Rattus norvegicus: one gene and its partners. The protein of the gene in region 3 purifies or fractionates together with the protein of the main gene of each other region. This does not show direct contact. Links are inferred from orthologs where the notes say so. Each region holds a gene or a part of one and is shown on either strand. Other genes may lie near its edges.

What was found. Proteins that work in one complex are often made in the same cells at the same time.
Region 1: the proteins of Brd8 (region 3) and Jazf1 purify together in Homo sapiens (affinity purification with mass spectrometry; 3 studies listed by BioGRID and IntAct, with this or other methods). This does not show direct contact. The link is inferred for Rattus norvegicus from reciprocal best matches to the Homo sapiens genes BRD8 and JAZF1.
Region 2: the proteins of Brd8 (region 3) and Max purify together in Homo sapiens (affinity purification with mass spectrometry; 3 studies listed by BioGRID, with this or other methods). This does not show direct contact. The link is inferred for Rattus norvegicus from reciprocal best matches to the Homo sapiens genes BRD8 and MAX.

Annotation. Positions count from the first base shown.
Region 1 is NC_086022.1:83,509,174-83,516,647, forward strand, and holds the start of Jazf1 (juxtaposed with another zinc finger protein 1), read right to left. Parts: upstream 4,472-7,474; 5' UTR 4,412-4,471; coding exon 4,297-4,411; intron 3,780-4,296; exon of another isoform or gene 3,696-3,779; intron 1-3,695. UniProt on the Homo sapiens protein: Acts as a transcriptional corepressor of orphan nuclear receptor NR2C2. Inhibits expression of the gluconeogenesis enzyme PCK2 through inhibition of NR2C2 activity.
Region 2 is NC_086024.1:101,390,820-101,398,151, forward strand, and holds the start of Max (protein max), read right to left. Parts: upstream 4,472-7,332; 5' UTR 4,277-4,471; coding exon 4,241-4,276; intron 4,183-4,240; exon of another isoform or gene 4,044-4,182; intron 3,565-4,043; coding exon 3,538-3,564; intron 1-3,537. UniProt on the Homo sapiens protein: Transcription regulator. Forms a sequence-specific DNA-binding protein complex with MYC or MAD which recognizes the core sequence 5'-CAC[GA]TG-3'. The MYC:MAX complex is a transcriptional activator, whereas the MAD:MAX complex is a repressor.
Region 3 is NC_086036.1:26,499,136-26,506,740, reverse strand, and holds the start of Brd8 (bromodomain-containing protein 8), read left to right. Parts: upstream 1-2,734; 5' UTR 2,735-2,752; coding exon 2,753-2,771; intron 2,772-3,761; coding exon 3,762-3,858; intron 3,859-6,685; exon of another isoform or gene 6,686-7,316; coding exon of another isoform or gene 7,317-7,576; intron 7,577-7,605. Other genes in the region: kinesin-like protein KIF20A, read right to left, coding at 1-72, 1,658-1,819. UniProt on the Homo sapiens protein: May act as a coactivator during transcriptional activation by hormone-activated nuclear receptors (NR). Isoform 2 stimulates transcriptional activation by AR/DHTR, ESR1/NR3A1, RXRA/NR2B1 and THRB/ERBA2.

The sequences.
Region 1 (7,474 bases), on a different chromosome or scaffold from region 3:
CAGTTCCAAAGGCTTCTATAATTTATTACAGCAACTGCCCCACTTCTCAGTATTAATTTTTTTATCAAAGTTACTTCTTTTATTGTTGTCATAAAATACTTAGAAAAAGAACTTACAAGAACATTTATTTTGGCTCAAGGAATGAAGAACAGTCTGGCATGGCAACGAAAAGTATGAGGTAGTCGGTCACACTGTATCACCAATCAATAGGCAGACCACAGACAGGAAGTGGGGCAGGGCTCAAGGACCTTCTATTCCCCAAAGGCCTACTTCCTCCTGCCAGCTTCCACCTCTTAAAAGTTACATGGTTTTCTATGACTAACTGTACTTCATTTGGGGACCGAATATTCTAGCCCATGAACCTATGGGAGACCTTTCTCATTCAAACCATAACATTTATTGGGTCATCTCGATAAGCAAGTCTACATTACTGATAGGAATTATCCTCATGGTTTTTTTCAGAGGCTCTGACTTTATTAATTAGATAGCTTTATATCTACTCTATGAAATGAAGCACCTGTGAATTAGAGGAAAACAGGTAAAAATGTCAAGTCTAGAGATATTCTAGGTCTAGAGATGCCTGTCCTGGCTAGGGAAAGCCACTTCCTGTGACTAAGACTCCAGTCCAATAAATGGAAACCTGAATCAGTGACAGCTAAGGTGACAGCTCTTGCCATGGAGGGGAAGTTAGCTCTTTTAGTTCATCAGGGATGTTAGTTCATCACCATTATAAGAACAAAATTGGGTCAGATTCCCAAGTGTCTCTTCCGAAGGCATGGTCCCATCTTGGGCCATGTCTGCTCTCCCTGCCTGGCCCTCCCTGCTCTCACTGATGTCACCTCTCTTAAGACTGTGACTCTGTGTTAGCTTCTAGGGCCTATCCTGACCAATTTATTTAAAATTCTAACATTCATTACTTCAAATCCACTGTATTTTATTCTAACTTTTCTTCTGTATCACTAACTAACTTCTAACATATTCTATCATTTGTAAATTGTTATTTATCTTTCTTCACTAGCATCTAAGATACCCCAAACTCAGGTGTTTTTGTTTTCCTTCACCAAAAGGCAACAAATGTTTAGAACTGTCCCTGGCAAAAAGCAAGTGCTATGCTATCACATAAATAAATCCAAAGAGCAGGTGTGATTTCACACACGGATGAAACCAGCTAATGGTTCCACAGTTGCTTTATGAGTCCCAAAGCTAAAAGATTTTGCAGCAGTGACATTCATGAGTCTAAGGCATGATCTTCTTGCTAAATTTAGTGTTCTCTGTATTTCCAAGCCTCCTTGTTACCAGTTTAACCTGGGTGTATTTATGATTGTCACGCCAAGAGTGTTTCTACAAGCTTGGGCATCCACTCACCATGAGAAGCTTCTCTGGCCTCCAGGAAGCAGCACCAGGCCTCTGTGTGGATAGCGGAGCGGAGAGAGTAGCACTTCACAGTTACCCAGCTGCGGGTGTTTTAAGGCCATGTAAGTGAGTGGGGAGGAGAAGGCTTAGGCTCAGGATACTTGGGTTGTTCACTGAGAAGGGACCTAGCCCTACTACCAGACAAACAGACATGAAAGGGGAAAAAGCAAAGAGCAAATGAGAAGAACATGTGTCTTAAAGGAGCATCTTTAAGGAGGAGAAACACTGCCTAAGACAAAGACGAAAGAAGCAGATTTATTTTGTCTTTGAAGCCACAGCTCCTTGATCCTTACCAGAAATGGAAAGAGGTTAAAAACAAGAGCTGTGGCTGGAACTGCATGGGAAAACTGGTGTTTTGAAGGTGAAGCTATCAGATCAATAATCAGAATCACCATACACATGAAAATGCAGCTACATATACATATACATGTCTATGTATGTGTATATATGTCACACACACACACACACATATGAAAGACAGCCATTCACAACTTAGCGTAGGTAATCTGAATGATAAACAATAGTAATAATGAAAACTACAGGCTTTGAAAAGTCTGTCAGTGCTTTTGACTAATGATTAAATGGTAACAATTCAAAACCAGTCATATCTCTAACCCTCATGGTTATATATGGCACTAAGTAAGTAAGACCCTTGAATAAAAGTAAAATAACATATACATCTTGGGTCTCTTCATGATTCCACTGGCTGGGTCCACTGGCTGATTAAGATGTTAAATCAGTGAAGCCACCATTTACTAAAAACCAAAAAACTCACTATCTCATGTATATAGCTTATGTCGTGTGCACAGCAATCACAATAAATGATAATATGTAGAGCTTCCGTGAGTACGTTTGTATTTTCACTCCTGCCTCTTCATCCTAAGTACATGTGCACAGTACCAGCCAATCCAAATGTTATACTGTATGAGCTAAAATCTCATCTCTCTCTGCATGGCCAATTGCCCTTTGAAGGCTTCTTCTCATCTGAGGTGCACGGCAGTTCCAGCAAGCCTCTTCAAGGTCTGGATCCAAGCGTCTGCTCATTCTAATATCTATTTTTCAGAAACTTTGCTGCAACGACTATGTCCCAAGTATAATAACCGTTAGCCTTGCCAAAGCAATGTAAACTTACTTCTTCAATACTCTCACCATTAAAGAAAATCACTAGACCTTGGGGAGTGAGATATCATCACTTAAAAGATTAGTTTTAGAAAATTCATAAACCCTTGACCCTCTTAAAAGATAACTGAACAGCACTGGGACGACTTTTGCCAACTCAAAAAAAAAAAAAAGGCTTATGATTTACCAATGCTAGTCTAAATCGTCTGATTCCAAGTTAATTCAAAAGGAAAAAACTGTTTAATTCATGCTAGAACTAAATTATCTTTTTAACCAGCTAGTAGTTCAAGTAGGAAAGCAACCGGAGTACAATTATTACTCATTCAACTTGCATAAATTATTGTTTATCCTGATATAACTGACGAAACGGATGGAACTTGTGAAAACAGTTTCCTGTTACCCTCTCCATTTAGTTTAAGGAGTAAGGGGAGTCCAGTGATGAACTAGGAAGACTGGTCTTGAAACTTCACCACTACAGTTTAAGCCATGATGAGAAACTGACTTTATACCTGGAGCACTTTTAGTTATGACCACTTAGTTATGATATGAATCAGCAACTTTGCTACTGTATTAAACCTCGTGTAAGACCACCAAAACTTGAGAGCATAGGTCCTTTACCTGGTCCTTTATCAGAAGAGATGGGGGAAACTACTAAGGAGATACTTTGAAACTTTGAAGATTTTCAAAGCCTGGCAATTACTCATCAGATTTCTGTTTTCAATGGCATTTTGCAGACAATTTTCATGATTAGCTCCCATTCTGGATGGCCCATCAAATCCTGCTCTAAACAGGCACTTAACGCTTATTAAGCGCCCACTGTGTGCAAGGAGAAAGCATCCTACAAAGCAAAGGGGCATAAGGCTCTGCCTCATTTTATTCGTACATAAATGCACAGCAGTCGTGATTTACTCTCTCAACTTTGCAGAAACGTGAGCTGCATCCACATGGCCGAATCCAGGGCATTCATCTGGTCTTCTTGAAGCAATTCACAGGTAGCCTCATCCAGGCAACCCGCGGCCCTTTTCACCTTCCAAACCCACCGGGGCACTCTAGGGAGTGGCCACACCTTCTGCAGGTGGCTGGGTCTTGAGAGCCAGAAGCACCAGACCCATCTCCCTCCGCAGGGGCAGGGATGAGAGTGCAAACGTGGTGCAAGGACTTACGTGAGGCGCAGGACTTAGAAGGTCTCTGAGTCCCCGGGGACGCAACCCGCCCCGCGGGACGCCCCTCCCCCGCGTCCCCGCGCCCGCGCCGCGCAGGCCCCGCGGGGACCGGCGCACCTCCGGCCTAGCCGCAACGCCGGCGCCGCGACACGCCCGCCCGCCGCCCGCGGGCTCCCCTCCGCTGCCCGGGCCCCGGGGCGCTCGGGCTAGGGATGGGCGCGGCCCGCAGCCGCTAGAACCGCAGCCGCCGCGCCAGGCCGGGCCCCGCGCCCGCGCCGCTCAGAGCACGCAGAGCCCCGCGCCCGCCGCCGCGGCCCCCTCCCGCCGCGCCACACCTAGCAACCGGCGCTGACAGGACGCAGGCGGGGGAGGAAGCGGAATGGCTGCCGCGGCGGCGCCTCCCCGGCTCCCGCCAGCCTGACAGCTCGGGCCGGGCGGAAGCGGCGTGCGGCACCCGCCCCCCGCGGCCCGCGCCCGCCCTCACCCTGCGGCCGGCCATCCCCGCGCCCCGCGGCCCTCCACGCCCGCACCTTATCGGGCGCCCGGCCCGCGCCACCCCGGGGCTCGCCCGCCGCCCGACCCCCGCCCACCCGGGCCTCACCGATGTGGTTGTCCTCGATGTGCTCGATGAGGTCGGCCAGCGTGGGGAAGTGGAGTCCGCAGCCCCCGAAGCGGCAGGTGTTGGAGAAGAAGGAGGCGGCGGCGATGCCTGTCATGGTGCTACATCGAGAGCCCCCCGGAGTCGGCTCTGCGAGCGCCGCGCGCGGAGGCGGAGGGAGGGGCCGGGGAGGGGGCAGGCGCGGGGAGGGCAGCGCGAGCCCGGGACGGAGGAGAGGGGGCGCGAGGTGGAGCGCAGCGCCGAGCCTCCGGGAGGCAGCGGGAGGCGGCGGGAGCTCGGGGAGGGGGCGGGGAGGACTCGGCGGCTGGGAGGAGGGAGCAGGCGCGCGCCTGCAGCTGTGCGGGCCCCAACCTCCGCGACCCAGGCCTCACCTGGCAGCTCCCGCCTCCAACTTTACGTCCCTGGGCCTGCCCTTCGCCGTGTGAGGTGCTTGCAGTCGGCTCGAAGCCTCCCTTGGTTATGTGCACTACATTCTTAATAGATACACATCTATTAATTACACATGGTTTCCCCCAGATGAGCACTCTGGGAGTTACCCGGCCCTCTCGGGGACATTTGTTTGCACTTGGCCACCTGTCTAGGTGTGACAATGGCATTCACTAGGGACCCAGGAAAGGTAATTGTGTGCACCTTGTTCTTTAAACTTTTCTATTTAAAAAAAAATTTTTTTTTAAATTCCTTATTCTCTGGAGGTTAGTAGTAACTAATTGATTTTAATGAAGCTTTCCCCCTAGGCCGGAAGAAAAATCTTAGCTTTATTTAAATTTCAAAATAGAGTGCTTGGTTGACAAGTGCATTTGACTATGTTCTACATATGTATCACGTTTGTTCTCCCTGATTCTTCTGAGAAAACCAAAAATCTCAATTTCTTTACCCCAAATTAGTGCACCTCATGCACCCCTTGCTGTGTGTGGCTCAGGTCTGGCAGTGCTGCTGCCCAGAAGAAAAGGCAAGCACAGTAGTTTGGAAACGAAGTCCAAGCATACTCGATTTTTACTTAAAAATGAAGATTTCACCAATCAATTAGGATTATAGCATCCTGTGAGCATTTAAGCCATAAATTTGACCAATTAACCTCTTAAGAATCTTCTGGTCCCCAACCCCAGTTGCAGTTACATTTTACCTACAAGGTGTATATTTTCTTCCAGGTGTTCAAGGAGCCCTGGAAAATGTGCATGATTTGAGGGTGCATTTTTTTTTAAATCACTCATGCATTCTGAATTTAGCATTTTTCTTTAGAACAATTCCACTTACCTTCTGGTGCATATACCTAGAAAAAATAGCAATCCTGTCTTTTTTAAACTATATATACCACTTGTGTTATTTCTAATATTAAGATTGTTCGGTCACTTCGTGTAAATTTAAATACAGACATATGTAGTATTTCTGTCACCGAGAAAAATTTCACAATCTCCCAGTCATAAAGACTGAGGCTGAGTTCTCCCACCCATTGACATTTTTGTCTGGTCTGTCGCTTCTTCGAGCCTCCAGGGTGACAAATCTGCCGAAGGGAGAGCTGAGTTGAGTGGGGCTGGGGCAGCAGGTCATTAAAGTTCAGTTTGGTGCCAGGAATAATTTCCTGGGTCCAAGTGAGGATGGGGGAAGGGCACCCAAGGATTTGATAATGAGCCAGGGACCTGCTTGGCTGGAAACTGGGACCAGACAGGGGTCTAAAGAGCAGGAGTTAGAATTCTACATCTTGAATTAGAATGTTGGCAACTGTGCAGTGTGCTCAGCTGTCCCGCCAGGGAGGAAGGCCTTTAGCTGAGAGCAGGCAGAATATCTGGCAGATAGACATTGCACCCAGTGACATGGAAATGCAATGGGGAAACTCCAGCCAAGAATGATGCCAGAACAGCCTCCTTAGAGATATGAGGCACCCCAACTCTGCAGCAGCTGGGAGAGTGCCCTGAGACTTGAAGTGACAACTCTGTTCTCTGGAGGAATGACTTTCTATGTGGAATTATCTACTGCAAGGCCAGAAGGGTGTAAGGGAAAGAAGGAAGGAAGGGGGCTAGGTGTTGTTAGTGCATACCTCTTGGCTACCTTCAGCCCCTCCCCCTACTATTACAAAGTGTGCCTGCCAAGTAAAAGCTTGGTCAGCCAAATTAAGCATATTGATTATTTTTAATGTGAAGAACCAAAGTAACTATGAAACGAATTATAATTTTCAAGGAGTTCAAATTATCCATTACATGTTGTGAGAAAAAAAAATCAGTATATCACCACAACTTAGCATAGGGTGACACTTGCTTAGGTGACACCCTGCTCTTTTCATTGGCACACATCTTCCTCTTCTTGGTGGTTTAAAATCATGACCTTCTACATCTTCAAGTCTATTGGTTTTGTATACACACCAAAGCAGTGATAGACAGGTCAAAGACCAAGTAACCACAGACAAACAAATGAAAAGTAAATGCTTTGTAATGAAATGTTTGCTTGTGCCGTACTACATTTTAAAACGTTTGTTGTTGTTCTTTTACATAAAGTCTATGTCTAGGCTATAAAAATCATGTGAACCAAACACCTCATCCTGTTGCTTCCAGGAGACTGGTGCACTTCTGGTTTGAGAGAACATTTCTCTGTCTCGCTTGGAGGAGTAAAACTATCTCAAAGGGCAGGGTGACAAGAGAACCAAAGAATCAGATAAGAGAGTGGCCATGAACTACACACACTCCCTGCCTCCAAGATCCTTTTCTTGGAAACTTAGGGCCTCTCTGGAGCACTGTACCTCTCTTGGTCAGTGGCTACATGAGGGTGTGGGGGTGTGTGTGTGTGGAGTAATGCCATAGGATAGGAGGGGCCATTACAGATGACTTACAGCTAAGTGACATTACAGTTAAGAGACTCCTAAAGCTTGTGTGCCGGGGTCCTCAGGATGGGCAGCTGCCAGGGAGGTGGGAACACAGCGGCTTCATGGAGCCACCTGAAAGCCAACAGAAGGTCTGTTATGCAGTTGTCTGATTTCCACACAAGGAATTCAAGATACTCAGCCAATCAAAGCATGCATTTCCTGTGCCCGATATGGACTTCTATTAGCACTGTAGAGAGCACTACTATATAAATGGTGGCCTTCTAAATTTAAACCTAATGTGAATCCCCTCTCAGGCCTTCATGAAGTGCTTTTCAGGTTTACTAGCTACAGCCTTCTGAGTGGCTT
Region 2 (7,332 bases), on a different chromosome or scaffold from region 3:
GTCAGTATAGTAACTGCAACATGTTGAATTCACAGATGCAGCGAAGGACAGTATATGGAGAAAGGCCTCAGGTTCCTTGACCAACTCAGGAATCCTACGCTGCACATAAACTTTCACTCTTTTCCAGAGAAATTATCCAAACAGAAGTAAAGCAAAAGAAACCTCTTGCATAAAGTAAGTGCCTCACAAACTTATCTTTAAAATACAACCTATGCCCCCTGTCCCACAAAAAAGTACTGGTGAGATTCTGCAATTATCAAGTTTAGCAACTAGTGTTCAGGGTGACTTCCTCTAATGTCTGCTGCTCACTGGAGAGTGCTGTTCCCCTTCCGTGGGCAGCACTCTCCACATCAGTTTCACTTTCGTTAGCCTCCCTCCATACTGATCTGAAGGGCCTGCACTCTTCATGAGGAAGACTCTGTACTGACTGCAGAAACTATGATCATCTTTTCATGTTAGGACCCACAGAACATGTCCCAAATAACTTGGTGTGTGTGTGTGTGTGTGTGTGTGTGTGTGTGTGTGTGTGTGTGTGTGTGTGTGTGTGTGCGCGTGCGTGCTCGCGCTTCTATAGATCAGGTGGAACTCATGGTAATCCTCCTGTCTCAATTATCCTGAGTGCTAGGATTACAAGTGTGAGCTACCACACTTAGTTCCAAATAACTTTTTAAAAGTTTTTCTATAATCTTAAACATCTAGTTGTCCAGAGTCCATTTTTTAAAATGGTTTTCCAAAGATAAAACCTAATAGCTTTCCACATTTTAGAAAAAAAATGTATTATTTATACTAAATTTCAACAAGCAAATGGATATTCACAGGGATAAAGGAAGGAATACGGTTCCCAGACCATTTGTGACAGTTGTACAATGCACTCTGTCTATAATATATACCTGTTTTTTGTCTATGCTATGATAAACTTTACCAGAAAAATCTCAGTAAGTAAGCATACTGAATTAAAACAAAGGGTCTCAAAGGTTCAACCTTCAGCAACAACAAAAATTTCATTGTCCATGTCCCAAAGTGAAAGGAAAAATTCCTAAGCACCTTAACAAAAAAAAAAAAAAAAAAGTTAAAACACGTAGACAAAGTTAAGATCAGCCTTGTAGAAGTAGATTAATTAAACACCCAGAGGGATGTTTTAAAAGGCAGAAAGCCTACAATAACTGCTTATCATAAAGTAAGAAAACATCTCTCACTGAAAGGCAAACCTAATTCCAGTTCAAGAGGAGTCTTGCCCTCTAACCCTGATCAAGCCCTGCGCAGATCTCATAACCAGAGACTCAGAGGGAGGAAGAGTTGGCTTTTGTTGTTGTTTTGGTAGAACAGGCTCAAAGGATAGAACAGGCTCAAAGGAAAACAACCAGGTCCATAGTATTAGACGAATAGTACCCAGGCAGGGTGGTGCACACATTTAATCCCAGCTGATTAAATCCCATTTAATCCGGGAACCTGAGGCTGATGGATCTCTGTGAGTTCCAGGACAAAGCTTAGACTCCTCCCTCTCCCAAAAGAAAAAAAAGGATAACAGCTGAAAAACAAGACACAAAAGGGATTTGACGTTCTATTGACAACTGTGTAAAGCTTCATTAAGAAAACATCTTCAGTGAGAATCTCAGAACAATCCTTAAGACCTCTGAGATAACTGCACTCAGAATCAATCAGTTCCCAACAAATGATGTTTCGGGGGTCTGCACAATCTGATGCCCTAATGAAGAGCAGAAACACTGAGGAGCTGGGTCCTACACTTGAGCTGTCACATCTGCTCCCCAGAAAAAGAGACAGAAGCAGAGAATTCTTGTGCAGAATCTCATGCTGTAGTCCAGGCTGGGACTCACTCTATATCCCAGGTGGGCTTAAAATTCAGGGCAACCCTTCTGCCAAAGCCTCAGAAGCCCTGGGCTTACACACTGGGTCACAACCCAGGACTCTGTGCTGTGTTGGTTTTTGTATTAAGGAATTGCAGAGGCAGGCTCGGATGTTTGATCTTCCTACCTCAACCTTCTGAGTAACTGGGTTTACAGGCCTGAATAATCAAGCCTAGTTACATCCTGCAAACTCTTTACAAGTCCTAAGCAGCTGTTCCACGTATCATTTTAAAGATCAGATAACTGAAGCTAAAGAGACAGCTCAGCGGGTAAAGGCTTTGTAGTCAAACCTGATGACCCTAAATTCAATCCCCAGACCCACGTGCTGAAAAGAGAACTGACTCCCCCAAGTTGTTCTATGATCTTCACATGAGAGCCATGACATATGCATGACCACACACCCACACGCCCACCCACCCACACACACACACACACGTTAAATAAATAAATGTAATTAAAAAGAAAAATCAAGTAGGTTGAGGCTGTAGCTCCATGGCAGAGGGGTTGCAAGGCATCCTTAGGCCCTGGGTTCAATTCCCAGCACAGTCAAAAATTAAATGCATATAAACACACCAGAAAAAGTAATAATCTGTGTTTCTAGCATATTAACATTTCTCATAAAGTTAGAAGTTCCAGGGATATGGCTCAGCCCTGAAGGTAAAAAAAAAGATCTGGCAGCCTGAGCTCACTCTCGGGGAGCAAGCAGCAGAGTTAGGTGGCTACTTCAGAAGGGGTGTGCATCCTTCAGTGCATACACCAGTCCTCACCTTTCCCTCTATCCTTCACGAGCTCATTACCTGGCCCTCACAGGAAAATGCACTCTACACCCCTTTCTTACCACTTCCAATCATCAAATATTACATTTGTTTCTCTTCTCTGATTGGATTTATTCTGAGTCTATTCCTTTTCTCTCTCCCTAATCTATACCCATTTACTCCTAAGCCTCAGACTCCAAACACAAGGGAGCATAGGGTCAACTCAAAGCCAGAAACACCCATAAAAACCATTACTATCACAATCCTAAGAAGTCCCATCCATCACCTTCCAGCGAAGCTATCTCTTACAGTGCCGCTTAGCAATAATTTTTTTTTTCTTCTCAAACGGAAAGTCAGACCACAAAAAGCGGTGACACTCTCAGTATTTAACTTCTGGTGCCTCTCTTTCCCATTGTTGTTGTTGCGAATAAAGCGTTTTTCTATATTCTAGGGGCTGTAGCAGTCTTTGTAGCAGACTTTGGCTAAAGACATTGATCTTTATGCGTGCCTGCGACTTCACACAACTATGGAGACACTGCTTAAAGTTTACCTCCTAAATAAACCTGACCAGTCTGCTCTGAAATAACACTACCATTCACTTCGGAATGCTCTTTCGTTTCTCACACGCCTCGGCTGCATCCTTCACTGAACACTACAGAACTCAGTTCGAAGCACAGGCCTCCTCTCACTCACCTAGCTACCTACCTACTCACTAGAATCTACCACCTGAGAATCCAGAATCATGAGGATTTGCAACGCCCCCCTCCTCCAACCCCAAGTGACTCCACCTCACCTTAGCGGTTAAGAGGAGTTTACAAGACTATTAAAAGTAATAGAACGATCTCTTTTTCTCTCTGACTCCAAAAAGAACGAAAACTGAACGGAAATGAAAATGAAATGGAGAGTAGGAGACGTACCGCAGATTGAAACCTCGGTTGCTCTTCCTGGAATAAGAGAGAAAAAAAAATAGAAAATATAGAAGTTATTTTCGCACTTCGAATTCAATAATAAGAAAGAAAATGCCGGCGGCGGAGGAAGCAGCGGGTGGGTAGTCAGCCTGACACCCCTCCCTCCCTCTTTTCCCTTCCACTCTCTCCAGCGAGAACCCGTAGCCTAGTGGGGGTCCCAGGCGCTGCCCCTCCTTCTGGGATCCGAACCGGACAAGAGGGATCCGGAGCACTGTCTGCTCTTTCCCGATCCCTCTCGGGCGTCAGAGCACTCCCAGCCCCTTCACCCCCAGGATCAACCGGTCACCGGAGGAGGGAGATCATGGACCCAATGAGCAAGAACTGAGCGCTGGTCTCCTTGCCCAGGATCCGGACGGATAATGGGATCTCCAGCCCGGCAGAGTGGAGAGGGAGGCCTCGACACCCTCCTCCACGGGAGAATGTGTGGGTCCCGGAGGCCGCGTGTCTGCTCCCACCTTCAGTCCCAGGAGGCCTCTCCGGACAGGACTGGAGGGGAGCGAGCCTGGAGCGCGACGCAGGCGGTCCCGGCCCCGGGGGAAGAGGACGGAGGCGGCGGCGACCCGGCCCCCCTCCCGCCGTCGCCTGGCTGAGAGCCCTGGCCGCTGTCCCCGCCTGACAACCCGAACGGAAAGGAAGAAGCCCCGGGACTCACGTCGCTCTCCACCTCGATGTCATCGTTATCGCTCATTTCCTACGGCCCAGGGAGCGGCCACTGCAGCGGCGGCCGGGGAGGGGAGGGGTGGAGGGAAGGGGGAAGTCACCGACAACAACAAGCCGAGTGCCCCCACGCACACACTCACTCACTCACTCGCTCACTCACTCACACACTCACACACACACAACACGGGCGACAACCACCTCACTGTAGCACCGGATCAACGGCGGCACGCACGCCCGATCGGCCCCCTAACACGTGACCGGGCTCACCGCGCCGGGGTAGCTGAGACTTGTAGTCCTCGAGCGTCTGATGGGCGAGTGGGAGAGAGCCAGAGAAACTACAAATCCCATCAGGAACCGCACACAGTCTTCGTCAGACCCGCTTGTTGACAGAGCGCAGAGCGCCTGCGCCCCGGGTGTTGGCTGCGAGAAGTGGCGCGGTGCTTCCCGGGAGATGTAGTCCATAGACCGCGAGTTGTCAGGAGATTTTCCTCCCCAGGCGGCGGAGAGGCTGCTGGGAAGACAGGACACGTGGAGGGAGCTGGGCTCCTGGAGCCGGCCACAATTCTGAGCTCTGGGCGCCCGGCCCAAGGGATTGGGTGGAGGCTCTGGGGGAGAAACTGGCTGCCAAAATAACACTGTCTCTTCTTGGCTAGACTGCTTTTACATTGTCTTGTTTAATGCTTGAGTCGCTCCACTTGCGCCCTGGGGCGTAACCTACGGGGCAGGAATCACGCTGCGGCTGACCAGGGGGCGCGGTCCAGACGCCCACGCGGACCCTCTGAATCTGATTTTAAAGTATTAAGAGGCATTACGAGACAAGCTAAAGGACCGACTTCACAGGGGTGTCCTTGTCTCAAGAGTCTTGCTTTCATTTGTCGTAGAGAACTGTCCTTACTGGGCTTGAATGTTTACAAAACCTCTCGAAGGTGCAAGTAAAACCTACCTTATGTTTGTCGTAGCCAGAGCAGATTAGGGAGTGCCCCCGTTTAGAGAACTCTAATTAACTGCAAACAGAATCAAAACGGGAAAGTTGTGCAGCTTCCTGTCCAGTTAAGGTGATACTCACACAACTAGGTATGAAGTTTAACTACATTCATCCCGCCAATATTTAACTATCTAATAATGTGGCAGGCCAGGAATGGCATGTGTCCCCTCAAAGACTTCACAGCTGTGGAAGCAGAAAACCGGACGACGCTGTCACCTTTTTTAGTGTGAGCCAGGTCCTCGATGAAACAACAAACAAACAACCCAGTAATAATACACTTTCGTCTTCTGAGAAATTTTATAACTGATCTTCAAAGTGAGTGGTCTTGAGTTTGATCCATGAGTTACTGGTTGGTTTGTTGTTGTTGTTTTTGAGTAAAAAAAATCATTAAGTTCCTGACTGTTGAGTACAGAAACTTGGTGGTGTATACAATCTTTGTGACTCCTAGCCCAGGCTGGCCTTAAAATGGGTGTGTGGCCAAGCCTAGTGTTGAGAACACAGTCATAAGCAGACACTGACCCGTAATAGAAGTCAAGGTCTGTAAGGGAGACAAAGACAGTAAGAGTTAACTGGATACCAGAAGTAGAGACAATGGGTGATCACAGCAAACCATCCTTGTATACCTCCCTGCAGTGTGCAGAGTATTACCAGACATCTTTAGCTGCAAGTTAGTTTATTCAGAGACTTTAAAAAAATATCCTAGCAACCACAAGGCCCTGGGTTCGGTCCCCAGCTCCGAAAAAAAAAAAAAAAAAGAAAGAAAAACCCTCATGCCTGCTCCATGCCCCTGCTCAGTTAAGGCAAAACCTTTGGGAGGGAGTAGGACCAATGAAAGACAGTTCTTCATGGTCTTCAGGTGATTCGTATGTGAAACCTGGAAGATGCCAAGGCAAAGACGAGCTTTCACTGAATTATATTCTTTCAAGGAGTGGGCTTTATGATATATTAATAATTATATGTCAACAAATCTGTTATAAAGATAATCTTTGCTCACATGGCTACAATCTAACGAGGGAGTAAATTCTAAAATCACTGTAGGGAAGGTAGACACGTCAAGCAGACTGTATGACAGCAAGCAATATGAATTTAGAGGAGAGTGCCAGATTTCGGGGAGGGCGGGAAGTAAGGGCCAGGTGTCCCCTAGACTTCCAGGACAAGGGCTAGGCCTATGAAGAGCCAACCAAATTCAGCTCACCATGCATCTCCACGTGTTGGAAGGACATCTGGACAAATGGAGAAAAGGCTTTCCAGGAGGAGAGACCACGGTTGCTAACACATCTCTTCCTGATAATATTTTTCTTGAGGGGGAGGGGCAGTAAACGCTGGGTCTCAGCGCCTAGAACTCACTTTAAACCCTCCAACTCTCAATAATTTTCCTGCCTCAGGTAAGGCCTGGAATTACTGGCGTGTGCTACCCAAGTTCAGCTTTCTTAGAGTAATTGACGAGACTATTCAAATCTGTCAGTCTGGCCAGTACCTCTGATCTAATAGACAAAAAAAGAAAAAAGAAAAGAAATAAATGAGAAAAAAACCAAAAACTACCCAGAAATTGAATATTATTTTGAAGGACTCATGGGACATTTGCAAGAACTGATGGAGTTCTGAGCCATGAAATACATCTCGGTAAGTTTTGACTGACGGATGTGATGTCAGAGAACACATTCTTAGATCTAATGTAGTTAAAATGGAAATAATAATACCAGGGTGGGCATAAACTTGGCTTATATGCACAAGGACTTAGGTTTGACCTCTGGCACTACATAATAGTAATAATAATATAAATTAAAAATAAAAAGCTAGACGTGGTAGCGTGCCTGTAATCTTAGCCTGTGAGGGTGGAGACAGATTGATAAAAAAATGTATGGTCCTCTTCTGTCCTGTGAGAAAATGGAGTTGAGTGGCCTGTCATTTTCATGAACAAGACGTGTGCTTAGGGAAGAACTGTGCACAAGGGCCAGCATTGTCCGTTTTAGTCTCTTCGATATGGCAATCTAACTTATTTCCACAGGTGAGTCTTCGGTAAAGCCGTAAAAATGTTTCAAGCCCTCGAGCCTTTCAAGATTGAATTTGTCAGTCTTGGGCACTTCGTGCTGGTCCAA
Region 3 (7,605 bases):
CAGCTCAGAAGTTAAGAACGGTCTGATTCGAAGATAAACTTTCATCTTCTCTGCAGTGTCCTCCATTGGAGCCTATAACAGAGTCCAGGGTTAAACCTCTAAACCAGAACAAACAGCCTAGATCCTAAGGCTCCCTCATTCCATGCTAAGCGGTCCTGTGCAGCTATTCTTTGGTTCCACAATCATTTCCAGCTCACAAGAACTTTGTCGCCCTTCCCTGTTTCAACACTGCCCTATAAACCTGGCTTGCTATATCAATGATCTAAGGTAGCATGGGTTGATGTTTGAAAACATCAACATGTAGCAAGCATGGTATGGTGGTGTGAGCTTGTAATCTCAGCACTCAGTAGTAGGTAGAGATGGGGGATCAGAAATTAAAGCCAGCCTTTACAAATACTATCTCAAAGTAAATAACTTTCATTTATTCTTTTGTTTGTGAAGGTGTTAGATACAATAGTCTGGAGTTATAGGCAATTGTGAGCCATCTAACATTGGAGTTGTGAAGCTAATTGGGTCATCTGAAAAAACAGGAAGGGTTCTTGACCCTGACCACCTTTTTAATTCTGATAAATACAATTTTTTTCAAAGCATGGTAATGAAAATTGGGTTAGTAAGATGTCTCACCTTGCTGAACAAGCCTGCCAACTTGAGTCCAATCACAGGAACCCACATAAAGAAGGAAGAGAACTGACTCTACAAGGTTATCCTGACTTCCACTTGTGCATACCCGCCATCACACATACATAAATTAACAATAATAAATAATGGATATGCACAAACCAGAGACTCGACTTTATCACTGAGTAGTTAGGAGACCATGAACAAATTCTGAGTGACTCACTGAAGAAGGAAGGTGACTGGTAGCCACTCCATTGATTCAGCAGATACTTAGAGAATGTCTCTGTGTTCCCAACACTGAATTCTAAGTAGTGAAAATGTACTTTATGTAGTGGACAGAGGCCAGAAACAACACTAAACATGTTGCCAAGTACAGGGCAACAAACTCTTGGCTCCAAACATCAACAGTGCTATAACTGAGAACTTTTGGTCCTGCAACAGAAAGACTAAGGCAATGGCAGCTACAATTATTAATGAAACAGGAATTCCGTTCTACCTACATAAGGCCACCATGATTCTCTGCAAATAATTGTATGTGGTGCTAACATCTGAACCTAGGACATACTGAACATGCACCCTCACACCTTCCGTCCTTGTATGATTACCTACCATTAATAGCCTGCATACTAGAGAAATAATATTATTCTTCCCAACTGAAAAAGCATGGTGCAACTACAGTTGGGATATTTCATGAATATATGCTAATAATATTCATATATATATATATATATATTTTTTTTTTTTTGGTTCTTTTTTTCGGAGCTGGGGACCGAACCCAGGGCCTTGTGCTTCCTAGGCAAGCGCTCTACCACTGAGCTAAATCCCCAGCCCCTTGGTTTTTCAAGATAGGGCTTCCCTGGGTGGTCGTGGCTGTCCTGGAACTCACTTGGTCAACCAGGCTGGGCTTGAACTAACAGAGATCCGCGCTATTTTCTGCCTCTGTCAGGAATTACTAGCCTTTGATCTCATACTACCTTGTATAAATAACTGTTAAGCTGAAGATACCATTTTCTGCTCCTAAGCCACAGAACTCCTTTACCTGTTTGTCCTCCAGAGAGGCCGAGATGACAGAGCAATCTGACAACAGGTCCTTTCGGACCACAGACCTCAGATCTGCAGCTGTGGACTCTAACACGGGGGAGTCTGCAACATCCTCATCAGAGAGTAAGCCCACTGGCGGAGAAAGGATCCCGTGAGACATGACAAGCAGGGTCAGTCTATGTCTAAAAAGAGACAAGAGTAGATGGGTAGAACATTAACGCACAAAAACTGCAAACTTAGGTTAAACAGTCCCCTGGTTAAAAAGCGACGTCCTTGCTTTGGTCGAGACTATACACCTTTACAGCCAAGGGGAAGAGAATGAGAACAACTAAATCAGCCCGAAGCTGCATTTCTGAAGGTGAATAGGCACGAAGAACAGAAGGCCACGCTCCACAGAGGCTGTCCAGGCCTGCCAATGCATGTGTGTTTCAGATCCCAAGGGTACTTTTCCAAAGGGTACTCACTCCAAAGACCACGAGAACTAGGAAATTATGAAAGACCTAGGAGCTTTCTGAGGACTACGATATGCAAGCAACAGCTGATAACCGGAGTTCCATCCCCAATTGCACTCTGATAACCGGAGTTCCATCCCAATTGCACTCACCTGAAGACAGCCTGCTTCGCTGCTTCTCTGATTCCCAGCTTCTACCCAGCTGAGACCCACGACTCCTGCTACGGAGAACACAACTCCGCCCACGAGGAACAGCTTTGTTCCTCATACAATGTTTTAAAATGCGCGCTGAGCTTATCCGACCAATCAGAAAGCGAAGGCTGAAGGAACCAATCAGCAAAAGGGAGTGAGCAGAGGCGACCGGAAGACCGTTTGCTTTCAATGTGGGTCCGGGTTACCAACTGTCACTTCCAAGGTGTTCGTTATTGGGTTCGTTTCACTTAGTTCTAAACCTAGACGTTTCATTTCGGAGGCTTCAGCTTGTCCTTTATTAGTTAAAAAGAAAATTTTTCCTAGAGGGATTTCGCGTCTATTAGGAAACAGACCCACCCACATTACCCACGAGGCACCGCGAACGGACTCATACAGTTTTTCCCAGAGTTCCTCGCGTCTGTCGCAATCGTTGAAGACGTCGGAGCCAAAATGGCGACCGGGACAGGCAGTGAGTATCGGAGCAGCTTTTATGGTCAAGGCCTTTGTAGAGTCCAGACTAGGCATTCCATTTCTCAGGCACGAAAGGAGCGGAAGGAGTGGGTTGTTAGAGAGCGCAAAACTCAGAGACCTGCCTTTCACGTCGCTTTCAGAACCACCACCTGGGGTTTTAACAGTGGTGGGAGGAATCGGAAGCTGGTGAAAAACAGCCTAGGAAGCCTTTGTGTGCTAGACGCTCTCTGGGGTAAAACATAAAGGTAGTATGAAGTGGCCAGCGACTCATTTGTTTATCTAACCAGGCTGTGAGAAGCAGTCGAAATGATTATCTGCTGATGTAGGCGTTTCCTGACACCGGGGGAAACTCATCTCGTGTATTTCAGCCATTTTTTCAGTTTCACCAACGAACTCTTTATACCCGACGATTGGGGGGAGGAGCTGAGATGTAAACAACTTTATGCAAAAAAGGAGGTGGGCAGTAGGAGCCGGTGGCCGATTGGAATCTTGGGAAATACGCCCGAGTTCAAACAATTTTAAAACTTTTTTTTTTTTAATGAGAACCTTATTTTAACGTAACACTGCCAGTTTCTTTTTTTTTTTTTTTTTTTCTTTTGGAAGCAGAACACCTTGAAGCTATGGCATTTAAACACAATGTTCTATAAATGTGTATTCAATGAAAGCACCCTGGTCAATAATGGTAATATTTCATTGGAATGGTGAAAACTCAAGATTTGGTGATTATAATTGATAATAGTAGTTCACATTGTTCGAACTAATTTAAGATTTATTTGAGACAGGGTTTTATTGTGTGACTGATCCTGGCTGACCTGGAACACACTATGCAGACCAGGCTAGCCTCACAGAAATCTGTCTGCTTCTGCTTCCTGAGAACCAGAATTACCACTCCACAATTTGCCTGGGGTGTTGGTTTATATCAGACTTTTAGCTGTTCTGGGGCTCAGAACTAGTTCGGAGGTTGTTTCTGAGCTTTCTCTATTTCCAGAGCACAAGCTGCTGAGTACTGGCCCGACAGAACCATGGTCCATCCGAGAGAAGTTGTGTTTAGCATCTTCTGTTATGAGGAGTGGGGATCAGAACTGGTAAGGAATCTAAGATATCTGCCTTTTTTTTTTTTTTGGTTCTTTTTTTTTTTTTTTTTTTTTTTTTTGGAGCTGGGGACCGAACCCAGGGCCTTGCGCGTCCTAGGCAAGCGCTCTACCACTGAGCTAAATCCCCAACCCCAGATATCTGCTTTCTTTTTTTTTTGGTTCTTTTTTTCGGAGCTGGGGACCGAACCCAGGGCCTTGCGCTTCCTAGGCAAGCGCTCTACCACTGAGTTAAATCCCCAACCCCAGATATCTGCTTTCTTGACCCGTTGGGCTGAGTATCTTTCTCTTTGTTCTTTTGTTTGTTTTTGTAACAGGTTTTCTCTGTGTGGCCATGGTTATCTTAGAATTCATCCTGTAGACCAGGCTAGCCTGAACTCAGAATGCCTGCCTCTGCCTTCTTAGTACTGGAGTTAAAGACATATGGGATCAGGCTAGCCAGGACTAAGTATTTTTCACCTCAGTGTATTCCTTAAGTTACCTTAAGCTTTATGTAGAGGTCAGCTTTACCAAAATACAAATCATAAAGCATAAAATGAGCCTACTGGCAGGGAAAATAGTGGTGGTTTCTTCTATTTTCACAAACTTGTGCAGCCGTCCCTGCAATTTAAGAAGTTTCTTTAATCTTTAAACTAAGTCTGGCTAGATAGATAGCTCAGAGTTTAAAAGCATTGGTTGCTTTTCCAGAGGTTGAGTTCAACTCCCAGAAACCACATGGTGTCTCACAACCATTTGTGATGGGATCTGACGCCCTCTTCTGGTGTGTGTGTGAAGATAGCAACAGTGTACTCATATACATAAAATAAGAAAGTCTCTACATTTACCACTCCCTCTCTTCCCTGAGCAATCTACTTTTCCTAGACTTGGCTATCCTTTAGGTATAATATGTAGTCTTCTGGGACCAGCTTTTTAGTCAGTTAACATACCACTCTTCAAGGTTTATTCACATGTAACATATGAATACTTTTCTAGTATTGGCCAGATGAAAACATGAACCAACCATCCCTTCCATACCCATGGAGACTGAGTCCCAGCACCCTTGAGGGGTAAAGATGGTGGTGGCTCAGTTCCTTTACATAAGATCCCATATTTGCATATAACCAACACCTGTCCTCCTGAATACTCCAGATTATCTCTGGATTATATTACCTAATGCAATGAAATAGCATGTGAATGGTTTAGGGCAGAGGAACCTGTGGGTGGTGACACTTTGGTAAACCTCTGTCTAGAAAAATATTTACATTATAATTCATAATGGTAGCAAAATTATAATTGTGAGGTAGCAACAAAAATAATGTTATGATTGGGGGTCACCACAGCATGAGAAACTGTAAAAGGGGACGAAGCTTTAGGAAGATTGAAGTCACTGGTTTAGGGCGTACAAGTACAGATAGCTTTTTGGTTTTGGACATGGCTGTAATGTCCCAGGCTGAGGAAATCCAAGAATGCACATCTCCTGGCTATGGACAGTCAACTACATATTCATTACCTGACATTTGGACTGCCACCTTGGGACAGAATTAGGTCTTCATATGGTAGCTCTAGGTCTTTTTCTCTCTTTCTTTCTTTCCTTCTTTCTTTCTTTCTTTTTTTTTTTTGAGGAACTGCCAAACCATTTTCTTTATTATTTCAAAAATTAAGTATGTTTATCTGTGTATTGGGGTTATTTGGGCATATCAGTGCAGAATCCCTTGGGAGCCAGAAGAGGACATCAGATCCCCTGGAGTTGTAGGCAGTTATGAAACATCTGGCTGACATGGGTTTCTAGAACAGATTTGGAGTCTATGTGGAAGCAGCAAAATATGCTCTCAACCCCTGAGTCATTTCTTTATCCCTCCAAATTTTGGGGAGTACAGGTGCTGGGAGTGGAACTCAGAATTTGGTGCATGCTGGGTAAAGATTCTACCATCTATTTTTTTAAAAGGCAAGAGTCTCACTCTGTAGATCCGACTGGCCTCCAACTCACAGAGATCCTTCTACCCTGTCTTGTAAGTGCTAGGATTAAAGACATGTGCCACCATGCTCAGCAAAAAAAAAAAAGGGGGGGGGTGGCCCAGACAAGTTCGGACCTTTGTTGGTGGTGATTGTTTCCTTCCTCCCTCCCTCCCTCCCTCCCTCCCTCCCTCCCTCCCTCCCTTCCTTCCTCTTCCTTCATTCCTTTCTTTTCTGACTGTCCTGGAACTCACTATGTAGATAGACCAGGCTGGCCTCATATTCAGATCTTCCTGCCTCTGCCTCCTGAGCACTGTGACTGGCTCAAACCTTTATTTCTTTTAGCTAAGCTAGTTTCAAACTCCCTATGTAGCTAGGATGACCTTAAACTCCTGGTGTTTCCTTTACCTCCTAAATACTGTGATTACTGGCATATACATTGAGTCCCAGTTTTCATAGTATACATCAAACCTTGGTTTCATGCATGCTAGGCAGGTACTCTGCTAACTATAGCCCCATCCTCTCCAGTTTCTTTTTTTGCTTCACTATATTTCTTTATTTTTATAGTAGCTATACTAGAAGTCATCTCATTTTCTTTTATGCTTACTGTATGATTGCATGTGTGTATGTATACTGTAAGTGGGGCCGGGCGTCAGAAGACCGCTTGCAGGATTTTCCACCTTGTGGGTTTATAGGGATCAAAGTCAGATCTTCAGACTTGGAGACAAGTGACTTTATCAGCTGAGGAATTTGTGTGTGCGCGTGTGGGTAGGTAGGTAGGTAGTCCAGGCTGGCCTAGATCTCTGATTTCCCCTTTTTAGCCTTCCAACCTGGAATTAAAAATGGGAGCCATCTCATCGAGTTGTTTATTGTTTTGGGTTTTTGTTTTTTGTTTCTTTGTACAGCCCTGGCTGTCCTGGAACTCACTGTGTAGACCAGGCTGGCCTCAAACTCAGAGATCCACCTACCTTCCTCCCTAAATGCTAGGAATAAAGGTGTGCAACAATGCTGCCTGGCATCCTTGACGTTGTTTTGTATGCATTTCTCTGATGAACTGTGTATGGGAATGAAGAAATAAAGCTTCACAGATGTGAAAAGCAAAGCTGTGAAAACAAGGTTTTGAGAAATGCATCTGGGGGGCAGGATGCCTATGACAAACTTGTGACCCTTCTGAGAGATACATCTGACGTCAGGGAACCCTGTGAGATGATAAAGTTTTGATGATCAAGATATTGAGGCAATTCTGACTAAGCTGATTAAGACAAAACAATAACAACTGTTCTGGGAAAGACCCCCCTACCCCTCCCTGTGGTAAATTCCAAGAACAACCACAAGATGTCATCCTGACCCTCCCCAACACCCAGTTCACCCCCCCCCCCCCCAAAAGACTTAGCTCTTTCCCAGTGACTCTCCAAGGCCAGGTGTAGGGCTGGATGAGGAAAGCATCTAACTGAGCCAAGAACAGCCCCTTGGGCAGGCCAGCCAATACCTGACCAGATCCTTTGTCCTGTGTACTGCCAATGAGAAAAGGCCAGCTAACCCTGTCGCTGAAGTCTGCTCTCTGCCCTGTGCTTTTTGGGTTCGAGGTTGCCTCTCCCTGCGTGGATGAGCAACCCCATGTACATGGATTAAAAACTTACACCCTCATGCTGTTGCAGCGTGTCAATCTCTGCTCTGTGAGTGGCACTCCTGAGGTATGGCCACTATGGGGTCTTTCAACAGTAATATCTTTCCGTGTGGTTCCTGGATCAAACTCAGGTTGTAGGGCTTTTAGAACAAGGTAAGCTATCTTGCTGGACCTGATTCTCT